3 linked regions of the Stegostoma tigrinum genome follow. The protein of the gene in region 3 interacts with the protein of the main gene of each other region in a biochemical or structural test. Links are inferred from orthologs where the notes say so. Each region holds a gene or a part of one and is shown on either strand. Other genes may lie near its edges. The genes, in order: rap guanine nucleotide exchange factor 5, rapgef2b and rap1aa.

Evidence for each region.
Region 1: of the proteins of rap1aa (region 3) and rap guanine nucleotide exchange factor 5, one has a biochemical effect on the other in vitro, tested with the Homo sapiens proteins (2 studies listed by BioGRID). The link is inferred for Stegostoma tigrinum from reciprocal best matches to the Homo sapiens genes RAP1A and RAPGEF5.
Region 2: the proteins of rap1aa (region 3) and rapgef2b form a complex in vitro, tested with the Homo sapiens proteins (2 studies listed by BioGRID and IntAct, with this or other methods). The link is inferred for Stegostoma tigrinum from reciprocal best matches to the Homo sapiens genes RAP1A and RAPGEF2.

The regions. Positions count from the first base shown.
Region 1 is NC_081355.1:75,651,242-75,658,718, reverse strand, and holds the start of rap guanine nucleotide exchange factor 5, read left to right. Parts: upstream 1-4,380; 5' UTR 4,381-4,490; coding exon 4,491-4,664; intron 4,665-7,477. UniProt on the Homo sapiens protein: Guanine nucleotide exchange factor (GEF) for RAP1A, RAP2A and MRAS/M-Ras-GTP. Its association with MRAS inhibits Rap1 activation.
Region 2 is NC_081354.1:38,387,824-38,395,180, reverse strand, and holds the start of rapgef2b (rap guanine nucleotide exchange factor 2), read left to right. Parts: upstream 1-4,329; 5' UTR 4,330-4,986; coding exon 4,987-5,055; intron 5,056-7,357. UniProt on the Homo sapiens protein: Functions as a guanine nucleotide exchange factor (GEF), which activates Rap and Ras family of small GTPases by exchanging bound GDP for free GTP in a cAMP-dependent manner.
Region 3 is NC_081374.1:5,400,567-5,407,534, reverse strand, and holds the start of rap1aa (RAP1A, member of RAS oncogene family a), read right to left. Parts: upstream 3,099-6,968; 5' UTR 2,988-3,098; intron 1-2,987. UniProt on the Homo sapiens protein: Counteracts the mitogenic function of Ras, at least partly because it can interact with Ras GAPs and RAF in a competitive manner. Together with ITGB1BP1, regulates KRIT1 localization to microtubules and membranes.

The sequences.
Region 1 (7,477 bases), on a different chromosome or scaffold from region 3:
GTAGGTATCACATATCACTTAGAATTATTTTTGTTGATTTCCTGTCCAAAAATTGCAGACATAGTCCAGCAGCTATGTTCTTCAAGGCTCATCCAGTTGTCTTAGTGGTGTGAGTGATAATGGGAACTGCAGATGCTGGAGAATCCAAGATAACAAAGTGCGGAGCTGGGTGAACACAGCAGGCCAAGCAGCATCTCAGGAGCACAAAAGCTGATGTTTCGGGCCTAGGCTCTTCTCTCATGAAGGGTCTAGGCCCGAAACGTCAGCTTTTGTGCTCCTGAGATGCTGCTTGGCCTGCTGTGTTCATCCAGCTCCACACTTTGTTATCTTAGTGGTGTTCCTGCTGAGCCACTCTTAGTGATGGATATTGAGGTCCCAGACCCAGGCCAAGAGTACTTTGTGTCCTTGATGCTTTCTGTTTCTTCCAAATGGTGTTTTTTGTGGATTCATCATCCAGGTTGGGGTGGGGCATGATTGCTGTTGGTGAGTTTGTAATTTGTAATCAGAAAGAAATGTTCTTGCCTATGTTTGACCTGATGCCATAAGAGTCTGCAAGATCCAAAGTCAATGTCAAAGACTCCCAGGACAACATCTTCCTGATTGTTCACCACTGACACCATCTGTGGTAGCTCTGACCAGCTTGTGGGACAGGGCATTTATGATGATATTGATAGGCAGTATGGTAGTGTCACAGAATTATCTGAAAGGTGTGATTCTGAGAGTTCAACCGCATCAGGCTATTGTTTCCTTGTTCTGAAGACTCATATCAGACTGAAAACATTTATTCTGTTACCCTCTCCACAGATGCTGTCAGATCTGCTGAGTTTCTCCAGCACTTTGTTATTTTCAGATATCCAGCACCCACACTAGCTTGCTTTTATTTGTTGCTTGATCAGTCTGTGGGACAACTGTTCCAATTTTGGCACAAATCCAAAAAAATTAGTAAGGAGGATTTTCCAGGGATTTGCCATTGTTGTTTCCTAGGGGGATAATGGATTGGAGATACTACCCTAACATTTGCTAGTTTAACCGAAATGAAATGAAAGAAAAACCATATGAAATCAGCTGTACTGAAAAGTTAATGCTGGACAATGACTGAATGGGTAGAAATGTCATTAGTTTTATTGTGTTTCTATGTTTGAAAGAGTGTGTATTTTGATTAAATGCTGTGACTCAACTGTAATGGACTTAATGTTTGAAAGGCTGGAATCTTGTTTTAAAATAGTCCAGGATATCAGATCTATCAGCTAAACAGAGTGCTTGATCAGAAAATTGCCCTGTGTAAATAGCATTTGGTTGTTTGCAAGACATATATGTGACAATAGGCTGAGCAAGTTAAGTCTGAGATCAAAATTTGATTAAAATCAAGGAATAACCCTCTTTTCAAGCAAAACAAACAAGTCCTAATGTGTAATTGATCAAACCTGTCATGGAAAGCATGGCACATCAGTAACGTTTGCTAATAGTTGAACTGATCAAATTGCTGGAGCCTGCGTAGAGAGTTTCAACACACTATGGAGAAAGAGAATAAGAAATCTTGTGCTGGTGATAGCTAGCTGAGAACAAGACCATCTGATCAGTGACTAGAGGTTGAACTGGATTGGGCAGACCATCTGATACAAGTCTTGGACAAGTCCATGTAATCCAGATCACTTGCAATTATAAGCATTACATGGTTAAGATTTTTGCAGTGCTTTTTTGTGGACTTTGCTTTAATAAAGAACATTAGATATATCCTGTTGTTAGAACTGCCTTTATCATTGATATCTGAAGTTGGAATAAAAGCCTTCAGGGTGCTACCTCTTGGAGATAACGGGAACTGCAGAAGCTGGAGAATCCGAGATAACAAAGTGTGGAGCTGGATGAACACAGCAGGCCAAGCAGCATCTTAGGAGCTCTTGTTTCATTTCACTTTGAATTTGCAGCAGTTTATTACAAGTGGCCCAGAAGCCACTCAAAGGACAATTAAGAGCCAACCAGATTGCTATAGATCAGGAGTCCCATGTAAGTAAGACTAGGTAAAAACATCATATTTCTTCCCGAAAGAAGATTGGTGAACCAGATGGCATTTTGACAAGAATTGCAATGTTTTCTTATCACTAATACTGGATTTTCATCAGTTGCTCACTAGCTATGTTTTCAGTACATAAATTACCTTTAAAAATCTTGCCAAACTTCATAACATATCCACATAATGCTTCTGAAAAGTCTTTTTCCTCAAATATGGACTCCCTCCACATTTTTGGGCAGAACTTTCAATGTGAGTCTCACACAATTCCTCCACTTTGGGCATCTCCTCTTCCTCCCAGAATCACTGAAGGATTCAGCTTGTCCTCATTTCTGTTATCTGCAGCAAGTTGCCATCATCAAACATGCTTTTTCCTCCTGTGGGCCATCCAAAGAGCCTGTTCCCTCCTGCTCCACTGTAACCTCACCCATGGACCATTCCCATGTAGTTGCAGGGATGGGAAACATTTACCCATCTACCACGTCACTGTTAAAGGCTCTGACCATCCTTCCAGGAGAAGCAGCTGTTTTACATCTATCATTTTCAATCTAGTTTTCTGCATTCATTCTCACAGTGCAGCCTCTTCTACACTATGGAGACCAACCACAAGTGATCAGTTTGTGAAGCACTTCTGTTCAGTCCAGACACATGACCTTGGCCTTCCAGCCACTCTTCATTTTAATGCACCATCTTGTTCTTGGTGCTCACATTTCTCTTTTGGTTGTATGTTCTGGTGAAGCCCAATGCAAACTGGAGAAATAGCATCTTATTCTCCACTTTGGTATTTTACAGCCTTCTGTTGAACATTGGTTCTTTGTAAATGGGTTCATGATATTGCTGTATGGATTAATGAGGGAATCTTTCCTCTGTTGAACTGCTAAATGGATGATATTATTTTGACTCAAACTGTGCGAAAGTGATGGATTATCTTTCATGGAATAATATGCTCTATTGTGTAATTTTCAAAACCTGTTTAACTAATTTTCATTTAGGGGTGGGCAATCTTACAAGAGGTCTTTTTTGGTATCACATTGAGGGACATCTCAAAGAGATGGTTGAGAAGCCTTGGCCTACAGTAATGGGTCCAATATCTTTGTTAGCACCAGTAATAAAGCTGAAATTGCTAAGCGATCATCCCTAATGTTGCTGTGATATGACAGTCTCATTTTTGATAATTATACCTGTTGGAAATGATGTATATCCAGCCAACATGAGATTTATTGCTAGTTCTGCTTCCCATCTGGCCAGAAAATTTGGAGCCTTGTGTTCTTGTGTTAGCACACAGAGCTTTGTTCATTGCTTTTCAACGTTAATGAAAAGCTGGCAGAATTGTTGGTTTCTTTGCTGATATCGAAGATTAGTTTAAAACTTAATTTTGAAACATTTCTGTAAAGGCCACCAAAAACCTGGAAACATTTTTTTCTTAAACTGGCTTTACACTAGATGAATCACCACCACTATATTAAAGTTGCTTGGACATGGTGAATCCTACCATGTATGGCACCTTGGCATATATTTTAGACATTGTGTTATCCTAACAGTATTTGACAATACAACAGAGTAATGCCGTGGTACACACTACCTGTTGCATTGTCTTCATTCTTTAAATAGTACAAGATGCAAAGTGGCAAGATGTATTTTTATATGTCGCTTGCCGTTAATTAATAGAACAGTCTCTTGGAAGTCCGGCACAAGTAAGGAACAAACAGCAATTACTTTAATGAACAAAGAGTAATACTAACTAGCTATTGAAATTATTATATAAATGAACATTGTCGTTGAAACAGACGTTTTAAAATCTCAAAGTAAAGCAAAGGATTCATTATTTGTTTAACAGAAGAAAGAAATGTACATTGTGTAATTGGCAAATGCAGCATTTGAATATTCATTAATTATTGTTAAATACTTTTATTGTTTAATTATTTGCTTTAGAGTAATAAGCTAATAAGCATGACAAATCTGAGATACTGTGTCGCTGGACATTATAGAACTCTGATAAGGATCAAAGCACATCTACAGTATTACAGTTTAGAAATTCATTTGTTCATCTAGTGTCTGCTAACACAAATGTAACCTAAATTTTAATATTTACAGTTGATTTTTTTGATGGTTAGCACTGCATTGTCCAAAGTAGTGACATTATTTTGAACTGCAAAGCGTCAGTTGTGACAATTTAATTATTAATTGTGAATGTTCAGATTTGTATGAAACAAAAATTGAGATGGAAACCAGCTTTCTCAGAGCACTGGAGGTTTACAATGGAAGAGGAAACATTGCATAATGGGATATCCTGCACCTGTAGGTGACCTCATTCAGTATGCGATATACAATGCAGATGCAGATTATATGCACAGCAGAAGGCAAATGGCTGGGTGGAGTATGTAAAACTGCAGCTTATCAAACAGAACACAGTGGACTCAGCTGCAAACTGAACTACATTGCAGTACAGGAAAAATGAGTATCTGTGCCAGCTTGTGAGAGAATGGCTCAACGGACTGATATTCCTGGCAGTTTCTGTGTCCCAGAAGTAGGACTTTTAGCTGCTATTAAATGGAGCAGAAACGTAAAGGGGCAAGGACAATTAAAACAGAAGATAAAAGACCTACCTGCACTTCTGAAAAATGGATTGAACCTCAAGAAGAAGCAGGCTGATGTGGTAATTGTACAATTCTGCAATTTATACTGTAATCAAATAATACAGGGCAAAATTATATTACATTTATGAGAGGATGTGATCACTATTTTACTAGGTATTCTTTTGCAAGGTTCAAGAGGAAACATTTTATCGAACAATATAATATGAAGCAGGTAATTGTAATTTGCTGACAGGTTACATATCTTTGCGAATAGATTGTTTGCTATTGAGGGTGGAACATATATTAAATACAGGCTCAGGCGAATAAAGAGTTTTTTTTAAAAAGACACTTTTAATCTGCAGTCATGTACTGAAATGTTTTGAGGAAAACTCAAACTTTATAATCTAATTTCTATTGTTTGAATCTGTCAGGAGAGTTTGATTATTCTATTAGTTTGAACCGTAAGACATATTAACACTTCACACTTCGTGATAAACATCGTAAACATCAATTAATTGCTTAAAACAAAATGTCACTTTGTAGTTTTGCATACTGCTCAATAGAACTGGTAGCTCAGTAATGTAAACGAAATACTTTTGCAAAATATTATCTGGGAGAGAGGGAAATTTGAAATTGAAAGCATTTTGCTGAGAAAATTGAAGGTCACTCAAACATGCATTGTCTGAACTATTGTTATGGCATATTACACATTTTTTGGTATCTAAAAATAATAGCAGAGGTCCCCTGAGTGGAAAATATTCTTGGTTTTCAATTTACTGCAAAATTGTAATGGCCTTCTCTATATTAGCATGCACAACTTTAAAAAAAACTACAAAAAACTAATATTTTGCTCAAATACTGTACTTGCATGTTACCATTCCTTTAGCAGATGGCAATAACAATATGACACCACAAACAGCTCAGAAATAAGTATGTTTTTAGTAATATGTGGCTGGTCAAAGGATAATACCGACTAATTACAATTCTTGTCACATTTTTATATTAAACCTCTGTGGTGAAGAACTGAGTGGCAAAATGTAATTGCACAGGCTCCTTCAACCTTGGGGACATTGGTTTGAGTCCAACGCACACTGATTAGATGGCAAAGTTTCTTGCTGTACTAATTGACTACCTCACTTGTGGAAACTGTTTGGTGTGAGGAATGTAAAACTTAAGACTATAACACATTGTTAAGGCAGAATAAAGTATCACCCTGTGTTGCACCTCATTAGGGAGAGAGAAGTGCTTAATGCTGCATGTCAGCAATAGAAAGCCTTTCTATTCCATGTCACTGAAATTTTTGACTGTGAACACAAAAAATTACAAAACTGTATTCATTTTAAAAATACCTTCATAATTGTCAAAAATGTTAGAATTTCAAACGAGTAATAATACAATGAAGTTTTCGTGTTATCATTTTGCTTTGGTTTAGTTAACTACTAAGTGCATATTTCCATTATGTTGTGTTAACTCAATTATTACAAATATATAGGTCTTCCTGAGCTTTTCCCTGCTTTGCTGATATTCTGTAATGACAAAGCTGTCAAAAAAAAACTTTTATCATGAACTTGCATCACAGTTAGGAAACTTCAGACCAAACCAAATCCAACATTCTGTTCTGAAAAAGCTCTCAGTTTGTCAGCTCTGACAAATTCCACCACAACTGTTGAGATAATCCATGTGTTGTAAAAGAAAATCAAACCACCCATTCTCTTGATATCTTTTAAATAATTCCAGAATCCATGTGCTGGTGAAATAAAAACTAATATTTTCTCCCTTGAACCATACTCTATCCATGTATCAAGTTTTGTTATAAACCATTTATTAGTTTTTGAGAGAGTTTGTTTTATAGATTAACAAACTGGTTGAAAACTTTACCTCTGCCGACCTTCAATGATGAAAGGCTTAAAGCAGCCCATTATATTAATTTTTAAAATGTCAATTTACCTTATCTCTTACTGTTAATGGGTTCTTTAAAAATATTCCAGGATCTACATTTGGATCTAGAAAACTAACCAGGCTATCATTGGGGACAATATCATAAGTGTGCCAACTTTAGTTGAGATCTGTCCAGCAGGTTTTGAGATGTCCTATGGACAGACGAACAAACAGGGTCAAAGTATTGCTGCTGCTTCGGAAATGCTGGTTGGGTTACTGCTGGCGCTCCTTTCTTCTGGGATCTTCAGAACCTGGCTTTCACAGAAATGTGCAGTGCAGCATCCCTTGGGATACTCCGCTGGGATAAGACAGGATGTGTTAGGTTTTAATCAGAGATAATGGGAACTGCAGATGCTGGAGAATCCGAGATAACACAGTGTGAGGCTGGATGAACACAGCAGGCCAAGCAGCATCTTAGGAGCACAAAAGCTGACGTTTTGGGCCTAGACCCTTCATCAGAGAGGGGGATGGGGAGAGGGTTCTGGAATAAATAGGGAGAGAGGGGGAGGCGGACCAAAGATGGATAGAGGAGAAGATAGGTAGAGAGGAGAGTAGAGGTGGGGAGGGGATAGTTCAGTCCGGGGAGGACAGACAGGTCAAGGATCATTGGCAGATGTGCAGGTGAACATCTGCTTGATATGGAAATTCATCTTGGGGCCTGGGATGGGGGTGAGGGAGGAGGTGTGGTGGCAAGTGTAGCACTTCCTGCAGTTGCAGGGGAAGGTTCCGGGTGTGGTGGGGTTGGAGGGGAGTGTGGAGTGGACAAGGGAGTCCCAGAGAGAATGGTCTCTCCAGAAGGTAGACAAGGGGGGGGATGGAAAAATGTCTTGGGTGGTGGGGTCGGACTGTAGATGGCGAAAGTGTTGGAGGATGATGCGTTGTATCTGGAGGTTCTGTCCGTCCTCCCCGGACTGACCTATCCCCTCCCTACCTCCCCACCTATACTCTCCTTTCC
Region 2 (7,357 bases), on a different chromosome or scaffold from region 3:
AAATTCTCTCTATTTGCCTGAATGAATGGAGCTCCAACAACACTTGAAACTCAACAAATTGTCATTTGATCAGACCCTATCTTAAACATTCACTCTAGGCATCAACAATGGACTGTCGCAACAATGTTACAATATAAGAGATGTATTGTGACAACTTACTAAGGCTTCTTCTCACTCTCAAAGCTAATGACATCACCTAGAAGGACAAGGGCAGCAAATAGGTTAGATGCATGTGAGCACTCCAACTTGCAAGTCTCTCCCCTCCAAGCCACATATGATGTTGACTGCAAACTGTATTTGCTCTTTCACTGTTGTTGCATGAACATTCTGGAACTCCCTTTCATTTTCAATGAATTACAGAAGTTCAAGTACACAGCTCACTGCTACCTTCTCAAGGGTAATTAGGGATAAGCAACAAACGCTGGCCTTGCCAGCACTCCCAGATCCACAAAAGGATAAAAATACTCACCGTATCTAGTCAACCATGTATAAATATTTATATAGTCATAGTCAAAGCCCACAGCACGGAAACAGACCCTTCGGTCCAAGTCATCTATGCTAACTACAGATCCAAATCGGGCCTTGTCCCATTTGCCAGCATTTGGCCCATAGCCCTCTAAACTTTATATTCAAGCCATCCATGTGCCCTTGAATGTTGTAATCACACCTGCCTCCACTGCTCCTTCTGGCAGTTCGTTCCACATATACCCCAGTATCTGATTGAAAACATTACCCCTTTTTAAATCTTGCCCTTCTCACCTCAAACGTATGCCCTCTAGTTTTGAACTCCCCCGCCCAGGAAAAAGACCTTGGTTATCTACCCTATCCATGCCCCTCATGATTTTATATAACTGTGTAAGATTACCTCCAATGCTCCAGGGAAAAGAAAACCCCAGCCTATTTAGCCTCCTTCTACAACTCAAACTTTCTTGTAAATCTTTCCTGTACCCTTTCAAGTTTAACATCCTTCCTATTGAAGGGCAACCAGAATTGTACAGTATTCTAAAATTGGCCTTACCAATTGTGTTGAGTGCTTCCCCTATCCTAATAGCCATCTCTCTCAAAAAATAACCTTTGATAAGCAGATCCAATGCAGGATCAGCTTGCCAGTTCAGATTTTTCACAAATTACAGTAATGAGTGTTTGCCAAGAATGACCTCTGGAAGTCAACTTGCATTCTCATGTATGGAGCAGTTGTTATCATCACACTCCTTTGCTGCAATGAGACCTTGAATGTGTATCGACAACTCATAATAGCACATAATAAATTCCATTACCAAAGCCTCTACTACTTCCCTTGGATTCAATAGGACTATTGTGCAACAAATGCCGCTGTTGATCTTACAGTGTACTCAAATTGTCAGGCAAACCTCTTGTAAAATCAACTTTGATGAACTGGATGCTGTGTCCAGATGGCAAAGTTGGCTCGCAAAAAGGAGCCTGAGCTACATGTTGCCTGCCATTTTAACACACCACCCTGCTCCCTGGCCAACATCTCTGACTCTGGCTTGTTGCAGTGTTCCAACAAAGCTCAATGCAAGCTGGAAGAACAAGACCTTATTTACCCCTTGGGGACGCTGTAGCCCTCCGGATTCAATATGGAGTTCAATAATTTTATGGCCTAAACTCTTCCATGTCCTAGCCCCCTACCCCAAACACCAGGTCTTGTTATCACGTGGCCTGCCATTACATGCTATTTACTGTTAGTCACTAACGGTCTCTATTAACAACAATTCGCCCTTCCAGCCACATGGTATCACCTCCTTTGTCTATCCAACTGCTGTTCTCTCTCTTCAGGCTCTATCCTACCATTTACTCCCTACCCCATCCCCTCCCTATTTTCTGCGTATAAATTGATGTTTTCCCAGCTACCATCAGTTATGGGGAAGGGTCACCGAACCCAAAATGTTAACTCAGATTTTATATTCATAGCTGCTGCCAAAACTGCTGAGCTTTTCCATCAACTTCTGTTTAAGCCCCTGATCGTCCTTTCTTTGCACAATCTATAGAAACAGTAAGATTTGTGTAATAATGATGCTGAAAAGACAAAGCTATTAATTATCTGTCCTAAATTAGTAATTAATTTTGTACTCTTAAACATACACAACACTCATTAAAAAGTGCATCAAGTTCCATTCTTAAAAATCAATTTATCTAATCCTCATTAAATATAGAAATAGTACCAGAGTATCATTGGGTGGAAGTTACTGAAAAGCATCTATAGGGTCAAAATGGACTTCAATTTGGAAAGGTATTGGTTTAATCTTCTGAAGAAGGGCCTCTAGCCTCGATGCTAACTCTCTTTTCTATCCACAAATGCTGCCAGACCTGCCATCTTTTTGTAGAAATTTCTGTTTTTATTTGTTTCAGATCTTCAGCACCTGCAGTTATTGAGTCATAGAGATGAAGAATTTGCACATACATAGATAAAAAGTAAGTATAGTGGGACAAAGCATCACTTCTCTTTTAAAGAGAAAATATGAACACAATATTTTGAATGGCCTCCTATTTTGAAAGTTTCCATTGCTTTCTAAGTAACAAAAGTGGAATAACAATATTAAGAGCTTTAAGTAACTTAATATGACTAAGGAAAAAAGTGATATCTTTAACATCTTGTTAAAATATATAAATCTCATGAATAATTTTGAAAATGAAATAAAGAAATAAACTTATAATGAAGACTTTTTTTAAGTTTCAGATGTAACCTTTGGTCAGAACATTAACAAGACTTTCCTCTTTCCATGCTTAACAGCTTTTGTGTTTTTTCCTTTAACTTTTCCATGGATCAATATGCCACACCATAGGATCCTGTGACGTATTCTTTCATCTTTACGGCATGTGTTGGAATTCTTCCTCTTTACCTTTTAGCTATTTTTTGGAGTAGAGGAGGATCTGAATGAAAAGACAGTTGCATGTTTTTAGGTTAGTTCTTTGCAAGCACAGTTTTATCAAGAGTTTTATTTCCTTTCTTCAGTCTCATGTTGCTGATTTACAGCATCCGTAGTTCTTTTTGTTTTTAATCGAGAACAGGAGCTTCACAGTTTTGAGTTTCCATCAAAAAAACAAATTAAAGTAGGAACCGCAGATGCTGGAGAATCCAAGACAACAAAGTGTGGAGCTGTGCTCCTAAGATGCTGCTTGGCCTGCTGTGTTCATCCAGCTCCACACTTTGTTATCTTAAAAGTAGGAAATGATGTATGGTAAAGGATTATACTTTGTAGTCAGCAGCAAATGATTGGCAATGACCATTCTTTACCATTGCTGGTAGACTTCTTATGATAGATAGCAAATGATAGATGAAAAGAGCCAAAAATTTCCCCATTTACTACAGAAGTTTTGTAAACAGGTAGACAACTGTACACCTCTGCAATAAGCAGGCTCTGAATCAGAAACTGGCATTACAACATTGTACTTTATGTTAAATCAGTTTCAGAAAGCAAACTTAATGAAAATTGGATTGAGAAAAAAGGACTAAAGTAAAATATTTTATTTAATTTTTTCTTCATTTTCAATGAAATTTGGCAACTAAATTGTTTACCTATCTCTTTTTCACTATTGGGAGTTCTAAAAAAAAGTCAAGAATGCAACAGCCTCTGTTCCTCATTTAAATACAAACACATTCAGTGACGGAACCATTTACACAATAGAATACAGCGCAGAATCAGGCCGTTTGGCCCACCAAGCCTGCGTCGATTCCAGTCCTTATTTGGACCCGTTACTTAACGCTTTCTATCCCTCTTTTCACTTTCCATTCAAGTGTCTTGTCAAGATACGCCTTAAACGTTACTAACGTGCCTGCTCTCATCGCCGCCACTGACAGTACATTCAAGGCACCCATCACCATCTATGTGAAAAACTTGCCCCTCTCACCTTGAACCTGTGCCCCCTTGTGGTCTGGAGCATGGATTTTCCTTAGAACCGTAACATCATTGTTGATAGTGCCACACTCATTCCTCTTAATTCATTATTTCTGAATTTCACTAACAGTTTGGCTATTTGTATTTTTAAAAATAAGCTTTTTGTAATTTCATTTATATATATAAACTTCGTAAACAAATGGAACATGTTGAAACCCGCTGTTTTCATAACGATAACGCTGAGTTTAACCCTTGGCGAGAAGCATGAACGTGTCTGCCCTCTTCTCGTTCGACTTTTGCACTTTTAATTTTAACGATTCCATGGTTAGATATAGTCACACCACAGCACCTCGTGATACATCCTGTCATCTTTATGGCATGTGCTGTATGTTCTTTCTCGTTGCCCCTTGGCTGCTTTGGGAGGAGACAACAAATTAAGGCACCATTTTTTTCTGGATGATCTGAGTGAGGAGGCGGTAGAGAGTTTTTGGCCGAGCTTTTAGCGAGAGTTTAGTTGTCATTAGTTTTCGTCCCTCCTCCATCTCCTTTCTGTTTCCAGGAGATTTTCACTTTGTGATGAAACAAAGGGTCCAGTGCAGGTCGTTCGTATCTGATTGAAATTAAACAACAACGAAATAATTTGACATCGACATTTAAACAGCGCTTTGATTAGACAACGCATTTAGAAAGCACTTGTTATTTTCTGGATTATTCCCGAAGCTGTCCAGGACAAGACAACGAGGCGAAATTATTTGTGGTTTAATTATAAAAATAATCCGATGGATTATGAAGCATCCCAAGGAGCTGGATAGAATCGGGTATTACTGCGAAGAGTCGTTGCTTTGTACAGAGTGGGAGCGGCGGGTGCCGCGCGGACGGTTGTGGTTGTCAGGGCAGCTCCGAGTTGGCGTTCACATTCCAGAAGCCGACAGAAGCTTCTGATCGCGGTGACGTCTTTGGGGTTGCTCCAGCTACTTGAGGCCGATCTCGGGCCTGCGCTCTGAGTGCAGACATTCCCAGGCGTCTCTCCCCTCCGAGAATTAGGAAAGTAGCGCTGCCGTAAAGGGAGGCTCGAGTCGACTCGAGGCCCTATTATTTTATAGGCCCGCACCGGGTCGAGGTCGGAACCATGGCGTCTTACGTGGATAATAACTTCAGACAAGCGGTCATGAAGAACCCGGCAGAAAGGACGCAACAGGTATGAACAGTGGGCAAATAATCGCAAGTATCGATGCTTTGGTAATGGGAGTACGGCTCGCATCTGATGGGCACCAGCGGCCCATCTTGCCCACCTCTTTGCTGGGTTGTGGTGATTTCTTTCCCCTCTTGGTTGTGTGTACGATGAAAGATATGTGACTCCCCCCCCCCCCCCGAAGTATAGTAGATTATTTTAATTGTTTTCCGGTTTTTTTTCCTTGCGCATCTCGTTGTGATTTGAGATTCACGTCAAGGAAGATTGTTCCGCTAACAAAGCTCTCTTTGCCCCTGTCACTGTCTCTGTACGGCGTTAAGGGAATTTCTGAAGCATTTCCCCGCTTCTCGAAAAATGTTATTTTTTTCATACTTTTTTTTTGTTATCCTGATCGATCCAACATCCACTTCTGAGAAACGCAGACTTAATTTACCATTTGTACCGTTGAGTTTTTATCATTTCCCAAATTTCTAACGGTGGATTGATGGAGTTTGGGATTGGATGTCAGCACCAGCATCACATTTAAAAATATGCACCTATGTTGTTTCTTATCTGCAATATAAACAAATTTATTTAGTGTGATTTATTTATTTTGATCGGCGACTTTGGATGACCTAAGTTTACCCCTTCTTGTCCGTACTATTTTTTTTAAATGCGACAGTGATCGGAGAACATAATCACATTTATTCGTTATTTATGTATAATCGCGTTTAATAACGAATATTCTTTCTTTTTTCAATCAATTCTGATTTTGGTAGCAGTAGGTTTAGCTTGTGCCCAATTATCCTCTCTTTACTTGTAACTATAATTAAGATTTGAAAGTTTTTTTCACTGTTGCTATGTTCTAGTCGTGAGAGAAATGGTCACGGTTTTATGCATCCACAATTGACAACGGGAATAAGTTGTAAACGTTTTTAAAATGATGAATGAGACTTTGGAAACAGAATAATTAAAGCATGTCTAGTCGCTTATGATAGCGTAATTGTATACAATCCAGGATGAGAATAGTGAAGCTTAATGGAATAAATTATATTTTTACCTTTTGATGCTTTTACTGTGGGAGGTTGACAAGAATCAAACTCACGTAGGCATTTGTAGTCTGAGATCTAGGCATGCGCAGTCATTTGACAGGAACGATATTTATTTATAATTCAGATTTCACTGACCTAGTGTCAGACATGTTATGTAGAGAAGTTTTTAATTTTACACGGAGTTATATTTAATGTGTAATGCTTGTGACCTTTGAGACGTTGTAAAAGATTAGGAGCCAATTTTATAATGTCCTTAGAGTGCACGCTTTGTAGGCCATTTAGCAGTGTTTTGGTAATTATATATGTATGTATACATGTATGTGTTTAAAAATTGCACTTAGTGAAGGGATGTCAGACAAATTCACATGTCCAGAAGTTGTTATAAGTACACTTCCTGGGAATATCTTAAAATCCCTTTTTCATCAATAATGCTTTGCAAAAGATCATTTATTCAAAAAATAATGTCAGTGAATATTTGCACCACTCATCATCTGAACTATTAATTCAACATAACAGTAATATTTCATTCAAAGAAATTTCATTTCATTATCATAGTGTTGTGCTCAGGCTACAGGTGACTTGCAACCAGTTTTGAATGGTTGTAGGTTTACTGAGGAACAACATGCAAAAATATTTTAGTAAGGTGACTATGTAGTGTTAATCACTGAAAATCTATTATTACATGACATGTTGGATAAATACAGTAACCTCAGTTTTTAACATTGTCTTCACAAAAAATGTTAAATTCTTATGACTTGCAATGCAGGATTAATTTATGACATAGTATTCTGGCAGACATTATCTGAATTTTCTCTACAGTATCAGTATCATTGTAAATTATTTTTATTTAAATTGAGGGGATCTAAACTACTTGTGTATTTCTTAAAACTTTGTATCTGTCCATACTTTTTGCAAATTTTTGTGATAAGTTCCAATGTTTATAGTGCAAACTGCCTATGTGAACTGCAATAAGATTCTACCCCACCTCCCCCTACACCTTTGAATCTTCCCTCTGAGCTGTGTTATGTGCAATAACCTGAATGTTCCTGTGCAGTGTGCTCACAACCTGGTCTTTTTTAAGTTTTTATTCTGGATGTGCAGCTCTGCAAAAAACTTACTTGAAGATTACACAAAGCAAATTGCCTTCAATGAATGGTAATGATTCAGATTTATTTTTCCTTGTTCCTCAGCCTGTACTGAGAAGAAACTTCAGTGTTCCAATGAACATCATTTCTTGTTGCATGTTTTTTCTTTTCAACTATATATCATATAAAAGC
Region 3 (6,968 bases):
AGCTTCATTTCCACCACCCCCCATACTTGGATAACAAGCACAGGAAGTGCGCACTCTTCACAAGAAAGACAAAACCCTCTGTGTTAAACATCTCTCAGATTAGGACTACTTCCAACAATTGTCAGTTCTGTTTAATACCAGTATCCACCAACCAGCATGTTCCATGCTCAATTTGCCAATACTGTAAATATCATGTATAATGTAATTCAAGCAAAAGCAATGAAATTCTGGCAAGAAATTGATTTAAAAAACATACAGATTACAGTCTAACCACACATTCCCACAGGGCAGTCAAAGGCTTTCCTATTTCTTTTGAGAATTTTTTCACATGACGTAGATCTTTTCTTGTGCTACTCTTCTAGTGTGGCGACAGCACTCTTCAATTACATAAAAGCGACTGGTTCATAGAGTGACTATTTACATATTCAATTATTTGGGGGGTGGGGGGGGGGGAAGGAGGAGGAGGAGGAGGAGGAGGGTACCAGAAGCCATCACTCCTTGCAGTTGCTACTTATCAGTGCTAGACTGCCTTCTACAAGACCAACCCAGTTTTCTACACATTAAGAAGCTGAAAGCAAATCAACTCCAAACCACGTTTGATCTTTTTATATTAGTCAGTGCAGTGTTGCCAACATTATAAAAAAATTACCAGGTGACTTTCAAAAGTTAAAGAGCTGGTGCTGATTAACCTCCACTAAAGACAAATTTTGAACTCCAACAGATTTGAAACCAACATTCCGCTCAGACTCTTAAGACAAGCTCAATCTCGTTACAAGTTTAGCATAAAGCAGAAATTGTTAGTTATTTGACCTCAACACTAAAGCAAGAACATCAAGAGTCCTGCACGCTATTGCAAGGTAAAATTGATTATGACAAAACAATGTAAGTGAATGTTTGATTGTGCTGTTAAATACAGCAATATCAGTACTTCAGCCTAAAGGGGAATACTTCAATGTTACTTGAACACAAAGACAAAATTTTTATGTTGTCAGATAATGTCCAAGCACAAGTCCAAATGAAAAGTTTTACATCATAACACTTACTGAAATCCTACAATACTGCACAACACAACCAAATATAAAAGAGTTAGAACATGTTTTCTCTCCCCTTTGAATATTCAAAAATTCCACTGTTCACCTCAAGAATGAAGCTATGTCCTCCAAAGGACTACAGAGACGCTCTATCAAAAAACATTACAGAATAAGGAAGGAGACGCCCCATTGCCTCAGTCATTCCCCAATCAAACAACTATCACAGGTAAGAGAAAGTGTTCGTGACAAGCCACACCTTTAAAGGATCTAATGCTGCAATCTGTCATGCTAAGTCTTTATATTATAAACACGATGGGGAATATCAGTCAGAAAGTCAGCTTATAGAACTCTTGCACCAAATGCAGTGGTTATCAGAAATCAAAAGGAGGGTTTGGAAAAAACACAAGCCAAGCAGATGCTTGCAAGTCACAAATTCATTTCTGAAGGATTCAGTATTTTACTAACCTTGTAGGTTCCATCTACTTCAGGTTTTCATACCTTATATTTGTCTATGTCCTATCGCCAAGAAATATAAGTTGAAACCTCCCATCACATTCACTGGGCAGTAAACAAAATTTGATTATACAGACTTCAAAATTTACTGAGGACACAACTCCCTTTACATAAATAATGAGAAAGGTAGTTAAGATCTATACATCTCTGGATGCATTTCTGCAGTAATGGTAGTGGTTTGCATTCAAGTGGTCCATCAGATTAACTAAATCCGATCAAGAAATTAAAACCAGTGCTTTAGATGCTTCAAAAGAATGTGTAAAAGCATAAAACATTAAAAAAACAAATACTGACAAAAAACAATGTGAAAAGCAACAGAACTGAACCTTGAGAATACAGATGGATGCAAAAGATTTATAGTAATTAGTTCCAATAAACAGGATCTCCCAAAAATTAATCTGAAGGAGGGTCTAGGCCCAAAACATCAGCTTTTGTGCTCCTGAGACGCTGCTTAGCCTGCTGGGTTTGTACAGCTTCACATTTTGTTATCTCCCAAACATTAACTCAAGTTCCACTGTGTCACTGAGATGCACTTCCACAATTTGCTGTCAATCATCAACTTCATTCAGCCAGTCACACCTAAAATAGATTTGCATGCTGTGGCAATTTACACAAGGTTGCTTTGAAACCCATGCAGGCTGGATTCTCAGTGACTAGTGTGCAAGAATCATTTACGCTACTCAGTGCTGGAAGTGTGGATCTACAATGGAGAAGAAAACTGGATTGTCAAGTCTGCTGCCCAGTTGAGAGTTGGATTTCTCATAAATAGCAAGGTGGGGGGGAGGGGGGTTGACTTTTCAGCTGAACGCAACCAAACATATAAGTGTGAAATCAGCTGGAATCAAACACCCACCACTGGGCTCAATGTTACCCCATCCTGACAGTATACAGCTTTGGTTTTTTTTAAAAAACATTTCACGCAGGCACAAGGGAAAAAGTGACACCGGTTTACCATTTGATTACTCAGTCTCTATATGGAAATTGAACAGGTTTTCGCAGGGATCTGTAACGCTGTTGGTGCTGCCGCCTGACACAGCCGCAGCAGGGATGGGCCCTCAGCTCCAGCCGAGGTATACTCACCCCGGGGGATGAGGGGCCTAGTTGGCAGGCCCAGGGCGGGGGAAAAGAGGAAGCCCTAACTGCACGCACCCACTACCGAGTGGCGAAGGGTACTTGGAGGCTCCGCATTGCTTCCCGCCCTGAACCGCAAGGGCCGGCGGCTAGGGACGGGCCCAGGAGCGGCGTCGGCCTCTCCTGGAAACGGCCGCTCCCCATTGCCTCAGTCATCTCCGCCCCCCATAAAATAAACACAAACTCCCTTCACTCAAAACCTCCCAGTGGGCCCCACACCCTCACTACCCCCTCAGTTACCCCCCCCCCCATCCCTCCTCCCTCAATCCTCTACCCGCCATCCCCACCCCACACGACGGTCTTCTCCCTCACCGCTGCCGGTTCGGTTCCGTCCCGCTCCCTTCCGCCGCTGTCGCTCCGCCTGAAACCGCTCGAGCTCCTACCCACCTCAGCGCGCGCAGACGCACACACAACACAACAACGTCACCGGCAGCCTCGCTCTGAGCGCCTTAAAAGGGAAACACCTTTTAAAGCGGCAACGACCCGCTCTTCTCCCCCCCGCCCCCAGGCTACCCCTACTGTGGACCCACCGCCGGCGCACGCCGCGCAAGTAATGCTGAGAAGAGCAGAAGGTACCAGGGATCCCAAAGAAGCTGCGATGTGACCGCCCCCGCCAGATGTTGAGGCACCCCGAAGTGCCACGGCACCACCCAAAATACTGAAATCGCTCCGACAGATGGCCCCCAAAACACTGAGACACCTCTCTCTTATAGACCACCAGACACTCACAAACAGAGGACCGTTCAGCCCCTCGTGTCTGCACTCGTCAAAAAACATCCGACTACACTGAGATAACAAGGTGTAGAGCTGGATGAACACAGCAGGCCAAGCAGCATCATAGGAGCAGAAGGCTGGGCCTAGACCTTTCATCAGAAATTCTGGCCTGATGTGTTCATCCAGCTCTTACACCATGTTATCTCGGATTCTCCAGCATCTGCAGTTCCTATTGTCTCCGACTGTACTAATACCATTTTCCTGGAGGAGATGAGTCATAGAGTCATGAGTTGTGCAGCACTGAAACAGATCCTTTGGTCCAATTTGTCTATGCTGACCAGTTTTTCTAAATTAATCTAGGCCCATTTGCCAGCATTTGGTCTCTATCCCTCTAAACCCTTCTAATTCATATACCTGCCAGATGTCCTTTAAATGCTGTAACTGTAAAAACCTCCACAACTTCTGCTGGCAGCTCATTTCATACAAAGGACAAGGGAGCCAAAATCCACCCTCTGAGTGAAAAAGGTTGTCCTTTAGGTCCAGTTTAGATCCTTCCCCTCTCACCTTAAACTGTTTACCACCTTCATAACTTTCATTTTAAAACTTCTTGATCATTAATCCAAATTGTTAATATACAAACAGCAAATGCCCCAGCATCAAATCCTGTGGAAGCCCACTGGAAGTCACAGTCAGAGAAACATCCCTCTACCATTGCCCTCTGCTTCCTAATTTGTGGCTGATTTTCAGCCCAATGTGTCACTTTGGCTTGGATCCCATGGGGTCTTACTTTCTTGATATGTTTCCCATGAGGGACTTTTTCAAAAGTCTTGTAAAAGTCCAAGTAGACCATATCAAATACATTACCCTCATCGACCCTCATGGTTATCACCTCAAAAAATTCAATTAAACTCGTCAAACATAACGTTCCCTTAACGGATCCATGTTGACTATCCCTGATTAATCCATGTCTGTCTAAGTGCGGATTTGTTCTGTCCCTCACAATTCTTTCTAATAACTTCCCCACCACTGAGGTGAGACTGACTGTCCTGTAGTTTCCTAATCTGTCCTTTCCTCCCTTTTCTGTAACGGGACAATGTTCGTAGTGCTCCAGTCCTCTGGCACCTCACCTATGGCCAGCAAGGATTTGAAAATTACTCTCAGGGCTCCCGATATCTGAGATAATGGGAGCTGCAGATGCTGGAGAATCCGAGATAACAAAGTGTGGAGCTGGATGAACACAGCAGGCCAAGCAGCATCTCAGGAGCACAAAAGCTGATGTTTTGGGCCTAGACCCTTCATCAGTGAGCTGATATCTGCTCCCTTTGAACCCTTAACAGCCTGGGATATGTTTCAAACAGGTTTGTGAATGTATCTATTCGTAAAGCTACTAAAGCCACCAGTACTTCCTTTCTCTAAATGTTAATTTCTTCTAATATTTCATAATCGTCCACTTTGATGTCTATACCTGCATCATTCTTTTCCACTGTAAAGACTGATGCAAAACATTTACTGAGAACTGGGCCCATATCTCCCAGATCCACACACACATTTCCTCTATGATTCCTAATGGACCATATCTTTACCTATTTACTTTCCATAATACAATAAAAAACAGGAACAGGAATAGGCCATTCAGCCCCTCAGGCCTCCTCCACAATTTAAACAGCTCTTGATTAGTCCAACATTCCACAGGTGCACTTCCTTGTGTTTTCCCAATTACCCAAGATTCTCCTATTTTTGCTCTTTATATATATATTTTTTTTAATCATTTGGGTTTTCCTTTATTCTATTTTCTCATTAACTCTGCTTGCTGTCCTCATTTAAGATGAAGATTACCCCGTGCACTTTTTGTATCGTCTAGGTACTCTGCTGTACTGAGCCTTGGGTATCTGACATAAACTTCTCCTTTCTTCTCAATCCTAAACTTTATGACTCCTCACATCCACAGCTCTGCTGTTTTACTCCTACACTTTCTCTTTACAGAAACATATTTTCCCCGTACTCCTGCTCCCCCCTTGAATATCTTCCACTGCTTTGATAGATTTATCTGCAAGTAGGTGTTCTGAGACTACTTGGGCCAAGTTATGTCTTATCTTAGTAAACTTAGCCTTAACCAGGTTATAGGTTTCCTTCTTAGCCCATCCTTATCCTTTTCCATTACCATCCTACATGTAACTAAGTTATGGTCACTATTTCTGAAAGATCCCCCTAACTGATACACCTTCCACCTGCGCCCACGATATCAAGGCCTTTCCTTATTGGGTTCCATTGCACCAGTTTAAAAAAAGTGCCCCTTGATACAATTTAAGAATTTTGTTCCCTCTCTGCCTTGAACACTAAAACTATCCCACTTAATAATTGTGAGGCTGGATGAACACAGCAGGCCCAGCAGCATCTCAGGAGCACAAAAGCTTTTGTGCTCCTGAGATGCTGCTGGGCCTGCTGTGTTCATCCAGCCTCACATTTTATTATCTTGGATTCTCCAGCATCTGCAGTTCCCATTACCACTTAATAATTGGTTCATTAAAATCCTTTATGAAACTAATAAATCCCCTCCCACTATTGCCTTTCCCCACTCCACCCTCCCCTACCCCACCCACGCCTTGGCTCTGACAGGCCTCAACAGAGGAACCGTCATTCTCACTAATTTGCAGGACTGAACAGCATTTTGCAAATAGAATGTACTTGGATGATTCCCTCACAACCTACCTGGAGCTTCTGACTGGAGTTCCCCATTCCCATTCTCTACGTATCTTTAATCTGTGGGTTGGCGATGTTTGTGCTGTCCACCAACCTCTCAGCCCTTCATCAATACACCGTTGTGCCCCAGCAGCTGCACAAGCTCCAAACTTCAGAGTTTGAGTTGCTCCTGCTGGAGGGACCTCTGCACAAGGTCATCCTGATCTCCAAGAGGAGGTAGGATTTTGCACAGATTGCGAGATGTGTAAATCATGGGCCTGAGCTTCCCAGACTCACCTTAACCAAGTAGAATATGGTTACTTGCTTTTATTTAGTCTTAGTCCTAGCAGAATCTTCATCTTGCTTATGCCTTGAGCCCCATCCATTGCCATTCTGTCTGAGACACTGATACATCCCTGCAATAAAACACTGAGACACCCCAGAACACTGATAATCCCCATATCACTGGTAAACCTCAAACAATGATATATCTTCCCACTGAATGAACCTTCCCACTGGTATGCCCCAAACCATAAAACACTGGGCCAACTCAACGCTAATACATTTCCAATGCTGATATACCGTCAGCAATGATACATCTCTCAATTCTCTTACACTACTGCAACTGAAAGACCCTGTAACGCTGAAATCATCCTAATTCTGAAACATGCAAATTAGTCAATAAAAGGCAATAATACACACACACACACACACACACACACACACACACACACACACACACACACACACACACACACACACAGTCATTCACCCAGTGATGCTGATGTACATCCGATGGATGCCCACATTATGTTACACACTGAAGACAACAGAACCCTTTATAAAATATCTTGCACTGCCCTCAACCTGCTGCATGTTGCTGGATCGCTCAGGCTTGGC